Linked DNA regions of Arabidopsis thaliana. The protein of the gene in region 1 purifies or fractionates together with the protein of each later gene. This does not show direct contact. Each region holds a gene or a part of one and is shown in the gene's direction. Other genes may lie near its edges. The genes, in order: DWA3 and CUL4.

Region 1 (7,883 bases):
CAGGAATGGGATTCCTCAATGTCAAAAATCAGAATCCACGCTTCTTCTTCTATTGCTTTATCTATCTTCTTGTAGTGCATTTGGATTGTATAATTGATTTGCATTCTGACACTTCTGGAATGTGTTGTGTTGTTCACTTGGATTATGTTTTTCATTTTCCTTTTGTATTCCCTAAAACGTTTTGCATCCTTTTCAGACTACATTTTTACACAATCAAAAGTTTATGCGTTTAGGTGAAATCCATTTGTTGGTTTCTCTTTCATCTTGCAGTGTCCTTCTTCTATCTGTTGTTTTCTTTTACAAGTTCCAATATTTTTGTGTTGTTCGAATAAGTGACTGATAATTTACAGGATCCAGATGAAAAAGATCTTGTAATTAGATTCTCTAATGTCAATCCCCTAAAGCTATTCTGAGTATACTAAAATTGTGATATAATCCTAAGCTATCTCTAGTGTAGTGGCTTTCTTAATCTTGTTGCGTGTTATGGTATCCTCTTTATCCCTCTGTTTATGATCTCTAACTAGATTTACGACTCAGTTCGTTTTCTCCGCTATCACTTAAGCATCAAATCAAGGATTTGAATTTGAATATGCCTCCCCTCAGAAAAGAGATCTAGGAATCTCTACAGAGCCACCACAAAACCAATAGTCAAGGATTGGGAATCTCTACAAAGGTGGGAGACAACACATTAAGTAGAGATCCTGTTATTGTGGAGTTGGCAAGAGAGATGACATCTAAAACTATGGTACAAGAATGGGAGCATGCAATCGATGTTTTGACTAGATCCGCTGCAGATTTTTCTGACATGGAAAATAAAATTCTTCCAATTCTAAAGTACAGCTACGATAGCTTGGTGGATGAAAATATCAAGTCGTGTTTCTTATATTGTGCTCTGTTTCCTGAAGATTACGTAAGAGTTGAAAAATCTTACTCAGCTGAATTTGGATTGTGCAAAGAGACTTGGTAGTCTCAGTGGAATACCAAAGTTTTCGAGTTTAAGAATATTGAAACTACTATATTCTAATGTTCATGGAGATGTAAGCTGAGTGAAGGAGCTGCAGCTCTTGGAGCATCTACAAGTTCGAACCATAACGATATCCACAGAGTTGAGTTTGGAGCTAATATCAAATGATCAAAGGTTGGCGAGCTGCATTACTCATATGGAGATTAGGGATTTTCAACAAAAGCCATTCAACATATCTTTGCTAGTAGGTATGAACAATCTCGTATTATCGTATGATCAGTGTGGAAAGAAGTCATGTTTCAGAGATTGATACATATATGAAGTGCAAAGAAAGCAAGACGGACTCGTATGATTTACACAGTCCCACAATTCCTTGCTTTACCAACCTATGCCGCGTGTCTATAACTCACTGCCACAACATGAAGGATCTGACTTCGCTTCCACATGTGAATCTAACTCTGTTTCTTTTTCTTCTTCTTTAGACAGGACTAAACAAACTTTACGCTGGATTCGGATTCCTCTCTGTCTAAAATCGGAATCCACGCTTCTTCTTCTATTGCTTTATATTTCTTCTTCTAGTGTGTGTTGTGTTGTTCATTTGGATTGTATAATTTCTTTATCTTTCTGCAGTGTGTTGTGTTGTTCACTTGGATTATGTTATTATTATTTTTATTGTATTATTTTTGCATCTCTGTTTTAGCTTGCAGCTTGTTTGTGTGATTCATTTGGGTGATGGTTTATTTTGTTAAATCGTGAAAATCATAAACTCAGGTCCTCTAAACCTAGCTAGTATGCAGATACTAAAACTGTGATCTAATGTCTAGTGCATGGTAGGTTTCTGATTTGGGGGCAACAACAAGAGCCTGTTTTCTCCTGTAGTGAATGGGTTCACCACATCAACTACCATTTAAAACAAGAACTTATACCAAATTCAGAAACTCAAATTTCGATCAATCGTTCACTGGTCTTGAACCTCGTTCATCCAATGTTACAAATGTCTCATAGAATATCTTCTCTCTTTTTTTTTTTTTTGTTCCTGAATTGTTTTTAACTTGAATTCTTACAATTCAAAACATGTTAACTACTCTCTATCGTGGACAACTTTTAACATGAGACAAAAATTTAGCATAATTTTCTCAATAGTTAAATGAAATGAGAAAAATTGTCCAATAATTTGATAAATTTTATTATGAAAAGATAACATATTACGGAACAAAATCAAATATCCCACAACAATCAAATCACTATAATATTATCTTCTTAAAGGGGAAAAATGTCGTTTTATACGCGAACTTTCAAAAAGTGGTCATTTAATACGTGAACTTCTTGTGTGGCCAAATAAAACATAATAAAAACGTTGACCGACCATTTCACACAAATGTTATTGTTGACCAGGCCAAAATTCCCATGTCGTTATCTTTCATTAACGGATCTGTTAGTTCCGTTAACACACGTTAATTAGTTTCCATTAATACTCAAAACGACGTCGTTTCATTAAAATAAAAGAATCAAAATTCCCAAATTGATTTCAAAATCCCTAAATTCCAAAAAATCCTTAATTCCTTAATTCCTAAATTCCAAAAACCAAATCCTTAAATTCTAAAAACCAAATCCCTAACAGCCTCTTATTTTCAGCAAGTGGTCGTCGTAATAGTCATCGTCGTAGGGATCCTCAAGGGAGCTAAAGAAAGGCCTTCGCTTTGATGTTTCCTCCTTGTTCATCATCGATCTTGTTCCTCCTCCTTCATAAATTCAAACGAACAACTGCTGTCAATAGTCAATGTTGTTATTCATATTCAAATTGGTTCTCATGTGTGTGTGTTCATCATATTTTATTCACAAGACAACAAAACAAAACAAAAACAGGGAAACTTCCAACATGGTAAAATAAGATTATGAGAGTGAGAAAAGAACCTTGGACAACGGGATTGAGATTCCTAAAGAAGAACATGTTGTTGCCATGTGAAGCAGATGGATTGAAGAAAAACGAATTGGATTCCATTTTGGAATTTAGGGATTTTGAAATCAATTTGGGAATATTGATTCTTTTTTTTCAATGAAACGACGTCGTTTTGAGTATTAACGGAAATTAATTAACGTGTGTTAACGGAACTAACATATCCATTAATGAAAGATAACGGCATGGGGATTTTGGCCTGGTCAACAATAACATTTGTGTGAAATGATCGGTCAACGTTTTTATTATGTTTTATTTAGCCACACAAAAAGTTCACGTATTAAATGACCACTTTTTGAAAGTTCGCGTATAAAACGACATTTTTCCTCTTCTTAAAATCATTTTACTTCATGATCCGGTTATTGGTTCTACTCACGCATCTTTTTTTTTTTACTTAACACATCTTTATACACCAAGATGTTATCTATTGGCACAAGAAGTTAAATAATAAAAAAATAAAAACTGATTTGTCTGAATATGAAATGTTGTCGATGTAATGAAACGGCTCATAAACTAGCAAAATTTGGTTGTTTGAATTCCAGTTCCTACATTGATGTAGCTAAACCGCTACTTTGTCTTGAACAACAGTTGAAATTGAATTATTCAAGCTCAATATAATTCCATTTCGTCAAAAAAAAAAACACACAATTATCATCATAATCTTCTTCTTTTTTTAACGTCAGTTAGCATCCATCATACATCTATGGATTGAAATTACTATAATTCATTCCTAAGGTTGAAAATGTCTTCAAGAAACAAACAAAACCAAGAGATGATGACGTGTTGCCTCACCAATCAAATAATATTTTCGACAAAAGAAAACTAACAAATTATGATGGAGTTGGAGAAAAAAACTGTACCAATAGAAGTCAATTGGAAGCAAGGGTTCTTTTCGTAATTTCCACTCGAATTCAATGCCCGGACAAAAGGGTGTTTTCGTCAGAACCGAGAAGAACGAACAACGAAGAAACTAGAGGTCCACTGTCCAAGAAAAATGCTTAATTATATTTTTAAATTTTTTAAAAAATTAAAAAACCTACCGACCGATTAAAAAAAAAAAAAACTTTCTTCGCTTTATCAAAATTTCTTCTTCTTCTTCTCTGTTTCTTTCTTAATTCTGCTTCGTGTCACTATTTGAATCTGATTTCGTCTCGTTTCTTTCAATCTTCTTCCCCGAATCTGATTCTCTCTCACGTTTTTTGGATTTCAAATCTCAACGGAAAGCGATCTCTTCTCATATCCCTCCCTTTGAAATCTCCCTAAAATCTCGACCTCTGTCGTTTAGTGACAATTCGGATTTTTGTAGCTCCGATTCACCGTTTTAAATCGATTCCGGAAGCTACAGATTCGATTCCAGATTCAAATTTCTATTTCCCCCTCACGGATTCGCTGGAAAATCGAGTTAAAAAATGGCGAAGCGTGGTTATAAGCTACGTATCCTTATATTGACGATTTTGAGAAATTTTAACAGTTTCTTTATCACTGAATCGCTTGGGGTTTATTTCATAAACAAGCTTTGGTTTATTAGCTCTTCGTCAATTTGGTCAAAATGTTTCTATTATTGTTTGCTTAATTAAACTGAGAGCAAATTGATAGAAAAAGACACTGCAATTAATATGTTTGTCTTCTCCAATTTTTTTTTTCTGGATATGCTTTGAATTTATTTTTGTTGATATGTTATTCTCTGTGGGTTTGTTTATAACTTAACTTGATTTTGGAAACTTAGAGGAGTTTTTGGCACATTCTGCAAATGTGAATTGTCTAAGTATCGGAAAGAAGACATCACGGCTCTTTATAACTGGTGGTGATGATTACAAAGTCAATCTTTGGGCGATTGGCAAGCCTACTTCTTTAATGGTTTGTTTCACATTTGCTTTCTTCAGTATGTCTTTGACAGAAAATTTGTGTTTTATTATGGATAGAAGAATGATGCTATAGCCTTTTATTGGCAGAGTCTGTGTGGACATACTAGTGCAGTGGATTCAGTAGCTTTTGACTCCGCTGAAGTTTTGGTACTTGCTGGAGCTTCTTCGGGTGTGATAAAGCTGTGGGATGTTGAAGAAGCAAAGAGTTAGTTTATTGATTTTCTGCTCTCCTTTGTTTTAGAATATTTGTTGCTTCTTTTATGTTGAGCTAGTGTTGTTTAATGGGAATATATTGGATATCATTTGAGTTATCGGCTATGTGGATTATGGGTTTGGTTATTTGAGCAGTGTACCAGACTTTTAGTTTAGAATTATGAGGTCTAACATTTTCACTCTTGCTCTTGAAGTGTAGTGGTTCGAGCTTTTACTGGACATAGATCCAATTGTTCTGCTGTTGAATTTCATCCCTTTGGTGAATTTTTGGCATCGGGATCTAGTGACGCGAATCTAAAGATTTGGGACATCAGGAAGAAGGGATGCATACAGACGTACAAGGGTCATTCTCGTGGCATCAGCACTATCAGGTTTACTCCCGATGGTCGTTGGGTAGTCTCCGGAGGACTTGACAATGTTGTAAAGGTAAGAACAGCATTTTCAACAAATGAAGCTTGTGCATCATATTTTTCAAACTTATGATCTTAGAACGATACTGCTATATATGTTGTATCCAATAGGTATGGGATTTGACTGCTGGAAAGCTTTTGCATGAATTTAAGTTTCATGAAGGACCTATCCGTTCGCTAGACTTCCACCCGCTTGAGTTCCTCCTAGCCACAGGTTAGTCTGTGATTCTTTGTTTTTCAGGCATTATAGGGGTAACTTGGTGTCGTTTTCGATTGGTAGATTAACTACTGACATTTCCTTAATCACAGTTTTATATTGAATTCTTGTGATTTCACACTCTCCCTATTCATATTCAGGTTCTGCTGACAGGACTGTAAAGTTCTGGGATTTGGAAACGTTTGAATTGATTGGATCTACCCGACCAGAGGTACTAGCCTGTGGTGTCACTAGATACTGTTTTCTAGGGGACTCTATAACAAGTGTTTTTTACGTTTATTTCCTGTTAGCGTGATCACCTTGAAGGGAAATCTCACACATAAAAAATATCAGAAATCTGCTTATTCTCGGCCTTGATCTGAAGAGTGTGTTAGAGAAATGCCAAGATAAAATTTAGTTCTTAAAAAGATTTAGAAGTAAATAAAAGTGAACGGAGTCCAGAAAGCAGCATGTGATGAAATATGTTTTGGCGTTGAGCTAGCTTTGTAGCCGTCTCGGAAGATGTTATTCACACAATTTATGTGGTATGTGGTTTTCCTTGTTTTCACAGGCTACTGGAGTTCGTTCAATCAAATTTCATCCGGATGGGCGAACCTTATTTTGTGGTTTGGATGACAGCTTAAAGGTTTTGATTTTCTTTGTGATGAGCTTTACCATATAAAGGGTTCTCCAGAGTCAAAAACATTGATATCATAAGCTGATGTTCATAATTCAGGTTTATTCATGGGAACCTGTGGTTTGCCATGATGGTGTTGATATGGGATGGTCAACGCTTGGTGACTTATGCATCAGCGAAGGAAAGCTCCTGGGTTGTTCATACTACCAAAATTCAGTAGGGATTTGGGTCTCAGATATATCAGTATGTCAGCTATTGTGATTTTCCTCTAAAAATTTATGTCCGAGCTGGTAAATAAGTGTTTTGAAGGCTCATGTTTTTGTTTTTTCTTTTATCCTTAATTAACACAGCAGATTGAGCCATACGGCATTGGATCTGCGGATAAAAAAGAGTGCGTGGAGAAAATACTCAGTGCTCTGGATGATCAGTCCTTCGATAGAATAAAGAGTACCCCAAGGCGCAGCTCATCTCCAGATTATGAGACGAAAGAGATCAAAAACATATACATCGACTGTGAGTGAATGTTAATTTTGTTCGATGTTTGTAGATTCAGTTTTCTACCTTGAACTTATTGAAGTTTCTCGTTTTAGAGTAGGATATGGCAGGTTTTTGGTTAGGTTTTGAGAAGTCCCTGGGCGGTAGCTTACTTATTACTCTCAACCACCTATATCTAGAAAGTGAATCAACATTTAACGATTAGTTGCAATGGACTATTAGCAGAGATCACTGACTCTGGTTTTCTTGTATTAGTGATAGGAAAGCTACCTTATCTTTAGGCCTGCTCTAATCATATATTTTCCGTGCATGTGTTGGTGTATATTCCTAAATTTTGTACCTATTGAAATTGAATGAGACTGAAATGGTGGTCGTCGTTTCTGAATAAATTAAATATCGCTAGCCATAACCACTGTGTGACCTGGACTGTTATTTTTAGTCTTTAATGTCAGTTTCTGTTTTGCGACAGTGTAAATTTCATTTGTCTCTCACTTCTGTATGCTTATCGTTTATATTTGGTTTAATATTCTCTCTTCTCTTCAAAGCTACAGGCGGAAATTCGGCTGTTGCACATAAGTCAGGATCTCTAAGTACTCCAGCAACTTCTACTGGACAAGCAGGGGATAATAAGTCTTTAGTAGTGCATAGTGTTGTTCCACGGGATAGTGATATTGGGAAAGACTCTTCTGATTCAGGAAAGGAATCTATCACTTTCTCAAAAACAAAGCCAGGCATGCTGTTGAGACCGGCTTATGTAAGAAAGACGCCAACAAAGTTTGATGAAACAAAGAAGCAGTCAGTGGCTGTTGGATATCTAAAGAAAAGTGGATTGGATGGTGAGAAGAAACTAGATACTGAGACGGCGTTTGATTCAGAAATGAGTGGTAGGAACCCATATGATGCCGACGATTCTATCATCAAGAGTATCACCAACAAGTTTGAACAAGCTTTATTACCAGAATCACCGACTGATGAAGCAAAATGTAGGTTCTCCCAGTTCATACCTTAGTTTCATTAGATTTGAGCGTTCAGATGATCTAATCCTATCCTTTTGGAAATCTTGCAATCTTTGACTTAGGTATGCTGCTGAAACCGCCTCGTGTACAGAGATCACCAAGTACTAAGTACAATGAGGCAAGATGGGCG
Region 2 (7,883 bases), on another chromosome or scaffold:
ATCTTCATAAGAGTTTGTGCTGATGATAATAAACTGAAAGTTAGAAACTCTAGCAGCTTTTTAAGGTAAAGCGTTACTAAAAACAAATCTTATTTTATTTTTTAGTAAAAGCTAAAAAAAAATCTTTATAATTTTTGCATAAGATTTCTATTTTTATTACGATGTAAATTTTGGAAGAAAAAACAGTCCACAACAATTTTATTTTTACTTTTATATCTCAGCATGACTACCGATTAGAATATATAAATGGTGAAACAGAAGCGGTTTTAATCCGCAATCTTATTAATCAGTGTTCCATGTACAAACCATTCAAAGCTAAAATTGTTCAATTGTTTGTTTTATGTCAAGCTTACAATTTTTCAATAACTCCTCATTTTCACATGTTTGCATGTGAAAATATTGATCCAACGATCCAAGAGACTTACAATTTGCTATTATTAGTATCAATTGGGATTAATTGAGAAATTCTATAGTCTTGAAACATGAATAAAGAAAAAATAAATGTGTTGACATGTTAATGAGGGATTAAAGAAATAAAAAAAAATTATTAGTAAGTTTAAGCGAGGTGAGAATGTAATGAACACCATTTTGTATTAGTAATTATACAATTCCATAGGCTAATCAACATGTAATAAAAAGTTTTAAGACCATGCAGTCGTTGAGGCTGTGGCTGTAATAATATTCATCCTTGCAATTGCGACTTAAAAACCAGCCATGTTTTTTGGCCCAAGAACCCTCACTAATCAAAACACATTCGCACAACAGCACAAGTTATATGAGTTCGCCAATTGGTACGTCTCGGTAACACTTGTAAGACCATCTCCATCGGAATATCTGATTGAGATACTCATCAATTAAATAATAATTAAAAAGAGAAAAAGTATGAGAGAAGAAGAGAAAAGTGGAGAAACTGGCAAGAGAGACTATTCTCAGCATTTATTGAGAGTTGTCATTCAATTAATAGTTCATTTACTTCAAACTAATTAAAATATATTAATTTGATTAAAATATTAATTTATTTACTTTTTGAGATACTCTCTACCACTTTTGCCGATGGAGATGCTCTAACAATCTCATCTCGTCTCTTATCTGCTTGATAGGCTTCGGTTAAACCTTTGTAATCAGGCCCAAAGTATTAACTCCTGTAAATAATTTGATAAGCCCATATTTTGTAATCAGAACCAAACCCTAAACCGGAAGTCCAAAAACCCTGTGGAGCAGCAAGTCAACACGCCCCACATTGGCTAATCCATGACATCGATCATATTATATTTATTCATATTGTCAAGTGATGATTCTTCGTTCATGTCTTTTAACATCACACAATTTTCTGCCTGAAATTACCGACTGCTAAAAGTATTTAATCATCTCTATTTTTATCTCCATTCTCCACGTTATAGGTGAGTCTATTTTATAGGCATTTTATTCTAATATATTCTTTTAAAATAGTTTTTTTTAAAAAATAAAAGAAATATATGGAAAAAAAATCAACTCAATTTTCTTTAAAATAAAAATAAAAATATATATCAAAAATGATCTAAATATCAAGCATCGACTCGTGTGATCGATTCTTTATTCTTTAAATCGTAAAATGACTTAATAAAAATTCGACTCTAAAAATATACAATAGATATGATTTATCAGTTGTCAAAAACTAAAAATAAAAAGTAGTTAAAATTTAAAAGTAGTTATAAAAAATAACCATACAAAACAGGCAACAATTGATTATTATTTTTTATTTTTTTGTTTTTCACTTTTGTGATTAGTAACCATTAAAACAACGCACATCTAATCATTGCGGTATATGTCTATTTTTATCAATAATATTTTTTTTATCATATAGTAATTATGATTTATGAATGTATAAATAAAATAATTCTGATTTTATTCAGAGTATATAAATAAACAAAAAATCTTCATTTCTCGGGTCGGGTCTAAATCGCGAGTTTTCGCGTAGGTTTGAGCAAAAAAAAAAAGAGAGAGAGTGCACAGTGCGCTTTTGGTAGAGAGAAAGGGTTGTTATTATTTAGGATTGATGTCTTCTTCTTCCTCTTCGTGATTCTCTCACACAATTTTCACCCATTTTCATGTCTCTTCCTACCAAACGCTCTACTTTCTCCGCCGCTTCTGCCTCCGACGACTCTTCTTACTCTTCTCCTCCGATGAAAAAGGCCAAAAACGACCTCCACCATTCCCCTCAACACCCTAATACCGCCGACAAGGTTGTTGGCTTTCATATGGAGGAAGATCCAACTCCCGCCGCCGCTAATCTCTCTCGGAAGAAAGCTACACTTCCGCAACCTACTAAGAAGTTTGTAATCAAGCTCAATAAAGGTTTCGCTCGATTTCGATTTCTTTCATCTTTACGATTTTGATCGTAATCTTAGGATTTGATTTGGGTCTTTTACTCTACTGTGCAATTGATGCTCTGGATTGATTTGAAATGATACAATTGTTAAGGTTCGTGATTTTTAGGGTTTTCATTGGCTTGCGATTGATGGAAGTTTTGTGTGAGTTTTGATGTTAAATTACAGTGGAAAATTGAGTGTGACTGTTGAATTTTGATGTGAATGAGTGATTTGGGTTTTTGTATTTCTTCTAAGTTGGAATCTCTTTGTCTAGCCTGATCTAGGTACTTAAGATCCGGAATCTTTGTTGTGCACAATCTAGTTGGCTTAGCTCTCACCAAACCTAATTTGTGCCATTAGAAAACATCTTGAGAATCATCTTTACTGTGACTGGCTAGCAAATTGAAGATAAAAGTGTTTTCATAATTAGGGTTCTGATTGTACCATTTGTATTATATATGTGAAGCCAAACCAACTCTACCAACAAACTTTGAGGAGAATACATGGGAGAAGTTGCAGTCAGCTATCAGAGCTATATTCCTCAAAAAAAAAATTTCGTTTGACCTCGAGAGCCTTTACCAGGTTAGGTTACGTGCAAATTTACTTACTTCCTTTCTTATTCGTATGTGTAAATGTCGTGCTGATGAGATTGTGATTGTTTTTTCAGGCTGTTGATAACCTTTGCTTGCATAAGTTGGATGGAAAGCTTTATGACCAGATTGAGAAGGAGTGTGAAGAACACATCTCTGCAGCTTTGCAATCTTTAGTTGGGCAGAACACTGATCTGACTGTTTTCTTGTCACGTGTTGAGAAATGCTGGCAAGACTTTTGTGACCAGATGCTCATGATTCGTAGTATAGCCTTGACTCTGGATAGGAAGTATGTGATACAGAATCCAAATGTACGTTCATTATGGGAGATGGGTTTGCAGCTTTTCCGGAAGCATCTTTCTCTGGCCCCTGAAGTTGAGCAGAGGACGGTTAAAGGTCTCTTAAGTATGATTGAAAAAGAAAGGTAAATTTTTAACCTTCTGGTCTTCCAAAATTAAACGAGGGTTGATTTATCACATTGAGAATATAATTTCATAAAGCCACTTTACCTCAACTTATTTTTCTGGCTTTTGAGTGAATATGGTAAGTTTGGATGGTCTATGAACTATTCCTGTCTAGCAGTGATAACTTGTTATAGGTAAAATTTCAAGGCAAATCAGGACTAGTGTATGTCATTTATATATTGGATAATGTTTTCATCTGAATCTGCTGAACTTTCTTGCATGATATTGGTCCTGCAGGTTAGCAGAAGCTGTTAATAGGACTCTACTAAGCCATCTTTTGAAGATGTTTACTGCACTGGGAATTTATATGGAAAGCTTTGAGAAACCTTTCCTTGAAGGGACCTCTGAATTTTATGCCGCTGAAGGAATGAAATACATGCAGCAGTCTGACGTTCCGGAGTACCTGAAGCATGTTGAGGTGCCTTGCATGACTTCATATAGTTTCCTTATGATTAGCTGCACTACAGGTTAATAGTCTTTCTAAGGTTTCTACTGGTGATTGGTGCAGGGAAGGTTGCATGAAGAGAATGAGAGATGCATACTCTACATAGATGCAGTAACCAGGAAACCATTGATCACAACTGTTGAAAGGCAACTTCTCGAACGTCATATACTTGTTGTTCTTGAAAAGGTTCCAATCTCCTATTATTCTTGTGTTGGCTTGCATATTATCCAATTTTAGTTTGTCGTAGTCTTACTTTATTTCTGAACATCTTCAGGGTTTTACAACATTAATGGATGGACGTCGTACGGAGGACCTTCAGAGGATGCAAACCTTGTTTTCTAGGGTCAATGCACTTGAGTCTCTGAGGCAGGCGCTAAGTTCATATGTTCGGAAAACTGGGCAGAAGATTGTTATGGATGAAGAGAAAGACAAAGATATGGTACAATCACTGTTGGACTTCAAGGCTTCTCTTGACATAATATGGGAAGAGAGCTTTTACAAGAACGAATCATTTGGTAACACAATCAAAGATTCGTTTGAGCATCTGATTAATCTTCGACAGGTATCAAATAGTGATTTTCTTGATTATTGCCTGAGTCTCTTGCTAATAATTTTACTTTCATGTAAAAGCAACATACTGATTATTGTGGAAATGTCAACCTTAAATTACAATTGTGAAATCGAGAAATTTATATTTTATAATAATCTATAGATTTCGTTACTGATTAAGCACTGTATTGCTATGATTTGGAGACATCTTTGGGCAGTGAATACTATTTTCAAACATAATTTTGAGATCAAGCTTCTTGTGGGCACTGGACCTGATCACAGTAGTGTTGTTTGCTAATATATATCACTTTGGATACCAAATACTCTGATTTAGCAAGCATCCCAAATAATATACATCTTATGCTGATAATCTTTTTTACAGAACCGGCCAGCTGAGCTTATTGCCAAGTTTTTGGACGAGAAACTCCGTGCTGGGAATAAGGGTACTTCTGAAGAAGAATTGGAGAGTGTTCTTGAAAAAGTCTTGGTTTTGTTCAGATTTATCCAGGTTATCTCTAATTTCTTACATTTAGTACTGTGTTTGTCACTGTAAATCACTGCTTCGAGGCCAGTGCATGGTCTGTAAACCAGCTATTTGATCTTCTGGATATCGGTTTTGCTGATGGATTTTTATTATTTATCAAAGGGTAAAGATGTGTTCGAAGCATTTTACAAAAAGGATCTTGCGAAGAGACTCCTGTTGGGAAAGAGTGCTTCAATCGATGCTGAGAAATCCATGATCTCTAAGGTTAAAAACTGATTTATATTCTGGGTGTTTCCCTTTCCCACAATTTGTTTTCTATATCTGTAGTTCTCACCCACTGATCCCAACCTTGGTTTTACCTACAGCTTAAGACTGAGTGTGGTAGCCAGTTTACAAACAAGCTCGAAGGGATGTTCAAGGTATCCTTTCTTCTCCTTCTCTATATTCAAAAAAGATGTTGGTCGTTTAAGTTTTACTAAGGAACAAACTTAATGATCTTATATTTTGTTACGTTTTACGATATACCCCGGTATACATATTCATTGTTAATCCAATCTAAGACAGGATTGGCGGATGATCCTGCTCCATACTTATTTTAATGAACTTGTGTACATTTACAATAATCCTAATGAGCTTGAACTCTCCGTTTTATTGAAATTTTCTCCAGGATATTGAATTGTCAAAGGAAATCAACGAGTCATTCAAACAATCTTCCCAGGCCAGAACAAAACTGCCATCGGGAATTGAGATGAGTGTCCACGTTTTAACAACAGGGTATGTACAATGTATCAATTTTATCCAGGATATAACTGCTGGAATGCGGATATCATGACATATATAAAGCTTGTTAACTTCCCGTCTATAATACAGGTACTGGCCAACATATCCGCCTATGGATGTTAAGCTTCCTCATGAACTAAATGTCTATCAGGTTTTACTAAAAGTTCTTCTTATGTATTTTTTTTTGTTTCCTCGTTGGACGTTTTCTTACAAGCTTTTTCTAAGCTATCTGTATGTTTCGTAGGATATCTTCAAAGAGTTCTATTTAAGCAAGTACAGTGGTAGGAGGTTAATGTGGCAAAATTCATTAGGCCACTGTGTTTTAAAGGCAGATTTCTCCAAAGGTAAAAAGGAGCTGGCTGTTTCCCTGTTTCAGGTCAGTCAAATTTTTTTTCCCCCCCCCCCCCTTTTAAGCTCTTTCCTGTCTTCCCGAGGTTACAGTGTTAATCAATTGCTCTTTTCTTTTTGTCTCAGGCTGTTGTGTTAATGTTATTTAACGATGCAATGAAACTTAGCTTTGAAGACATTAAAGATTCCACCAGCATAGAGGACAAGGAGCTGAGGAGGACTTTGCAGTCGCTTGCTTGTGGGAAAGTCCGTGTCCTGCAGAAGGTTTGGCCAAAATCTGGACTCTGTTAACTCTCTTTTCAGCTAATGCAGAAACTGCCGAGATTATGGCTTTGCCTTTTTCCATAAGGATAAGCCTTATTGTGTAAATATTTTTGCAGAATCCTAAGGGAAGAGATGTAGAAGACGGTGATGAATTTGAATTTAATGATGAGTTTGCAGCTCCGCTGTATCGCATTAAGGTACGTTGGTTTTTTTCTTGGTCTCTTCACTTAAAGTATCCTAGAATCTTGTGATACTGTTTTGTATGTAGCTTATAGTGAAGCAATTCTTTCTTTTGTTCCTGGGTGCAGGTAAATGCGATCCAGATGAAAGAGACAGTAGAGGAGAACACAAGTACAACGGAAAGAGTATTCCAGGACCGACAATACCAGGTTGGTTTCTGCTCTCCATTTTCCTTTACGATACTAATTTCTGAAATCGTTCTTACAACTTTGGCTTCTTAAACAAGAAAAGATTTTGACAAAATGGTTTTCCCCATCACACCCTTCTCTTACAGATCGATGCAGCCATTGTTCGTATTATGAAGACAAGAAAAGTCTTGAGCCATACTCTTCTAATCACTGAGCTCTTCCAACAGGTAAATTTCACTCCTGCTTGATGATTTTAAAATCCGAAATAACATGTCGGTTTATGAAAAAAGAAAGCATGAAATTCGTTACTAGGTCCAGTCCTATTGGTAATATACTCGTGATGATGATTAGAGTTCTCAGTAGTCTACTAAATTTAATATACCATTGCTATGAATGGATATATGTTTGTGATTTGCAGCTCAAATTCCCGATAAAGCCTGCTGATCTGAAGAAGAGGATTGAGAGCTTGATCGATCGAGAATATTTGGAGAGGGAAAAAAGCAACCCTCAGATATACAATTATCTTGCTTAGAATCTCTTTGGTAAACACACCTTTTGAATATTTTCCTTTTTGTATATTTATTGACAAACAAACGATGACCGAAATTTTCTTATCAGTTTGAAAAAAAAAAAGAACTCTCGATATTCCAATCATCTCTATTCTCGCTGTTCCGCCCGTTCTTATGTACAGCCTTAAGTTCTATTTCTTACTTTGATTCACTTTTCCTCGGTTCTCACTTTTTTTTTTTTTTTGAACATACTTTCTTGGGACTTCTTTGTTTTCAGATTTTTATACAACTTAAAAGATGTTTTTGTTTCCCTACAAAAATAACTGATTTGTTTTAAAAAAATTCAAACTTCCAATAAAGTTCCTAAGATAGGTTATATATCTTCGAGGGTTTTCTATGTGCTGATTCCATTTTGTTTTCGTTTTTGAGTTTTATTTGAATGGAGATAGTTCTTAGAGCTTTTTCTTCGTTTTTAGGCAATTAAATCTTAAGTTTAATCGGATTTTTTTTTACACTACATTATAGGCATTTCTGTTTTTACCACTACCAAATAACTAAAGAAAGAACAGAGAGAATCAAATTGCTTACTTGATGAACGTCCCTAACGACATTTAACTATGGCTGATCAATATTGTACGCAACTGAAAGACAATTGAATAAAATTCATACTACGGTTTGTGAAATAGTTAAATGTATCTACACGTACATTTAAGAAAAATGGAAATATATTGACT

The links.
Region 2: the proteins of DWA3 (region 1) and CUL4 purify together in Arabidopsis thaliana (affinity purification with western blotting, with the first as the bait; one study listed by BioGRID). This does not show direct contact.

The regions. Positions count from the first base shown.
Region 1 is NC_003070.9:22,560,455-22,568,337, forward strand, and holds the start of DWA3 (Transducin/WD40 repeat-like superfamily protein), read left to right. Parts: upstream 1-4,040; 5' UTR 4,041-4,330; coding exon 4,331-4,355; intron 4,356-4,647; coding exon 4,648-4,778; intron 4,779-4,873; coding exon 4,874-4,991; intron 4,992-5,198; coding exon 5,199-5,425; intron 5,426-5,520; coding exon 5,521-5,623; intron 5,624-5,766; coding exon 5,767-5,837; intron 5,838-6,176; coding exon 6,177-6,251; intron 6,252-6,341; coding exon 6,342-6,485; intron 6,486-6,592; coding exon 6,593-6,755; intron 6,756-7,282; coding exon 7,283-7,720; intron 7,721-7,815; coding exon 7,816-7,883. Other genes in the region: AT1G61190 (LRR and NB-ARC domains-containing disease resistance protein), read left to right, coding at 1-233; AT1G61200 (homeobox-leucine zipper protein-like protein), read right to left, coding at 2,579-2,706, 2,879-2,966. UniProt on the Arabidopsis thaliana protein: May participate in a complex which severs microtubules in an ATP-dependent manner. Microtubule severing may promote rapid reorganization of cellular microtubule arrays.
Region 2 is NC_003076.8:18,730,858-18,738,740, reverse strand, and holds CUL4 (cullin4), read left to right. Parts: upstream 1-1,925; 5' UTR 1,926-2,087; coding exon 2,088-2,334; intron 2,335-2,814; coding exon 2,815-2,930; intron 2,931-3,015; coding exon 3,016-3,362; intron 3,363-3,639; coding exon 3,640-3,820; intron 3,821-3,910; coding exon 3,911-4,033; intron 4,034-4,121; coding exon 4,122-4,409; intron 4,410-4,778; coding exon 4,779-4,904; intron 4,905-5,042; coding exon 5,043-5,144; intron 5,145-5,245; coding exon 5,246-5,299; intron 5,300-5,547; coding exon 5,548-5,654; intron 5,655-5,750; coding exon 5,751-5,811; intron 5,812-5,904; coding exon 5,905-6,036; intron 6,037-6,134; coding exon 6,135-6,272; intron 6,273-6,388; coding exon 6,389-6,469; intron 6,470-6,580; coding exon 6,581-6,661; intron 6,662-6,786; coding exon 6,787-6,867; intron 6,868-7,058; coding exon 7,059-7,172; 3' UTR 7,173-7,370; downstream 7,371-7,883. UniProt on the Arabidopsis thaliana protein: Component of the CUL4-RBX1-CDD (COP10-DDB1a-DET1) E3 ubiquitin-protein ligase complex which mediates the ubiquitination and subsequent proteasomal degradation of target proteins. Participates in the CDD complex to light-mediated control of development.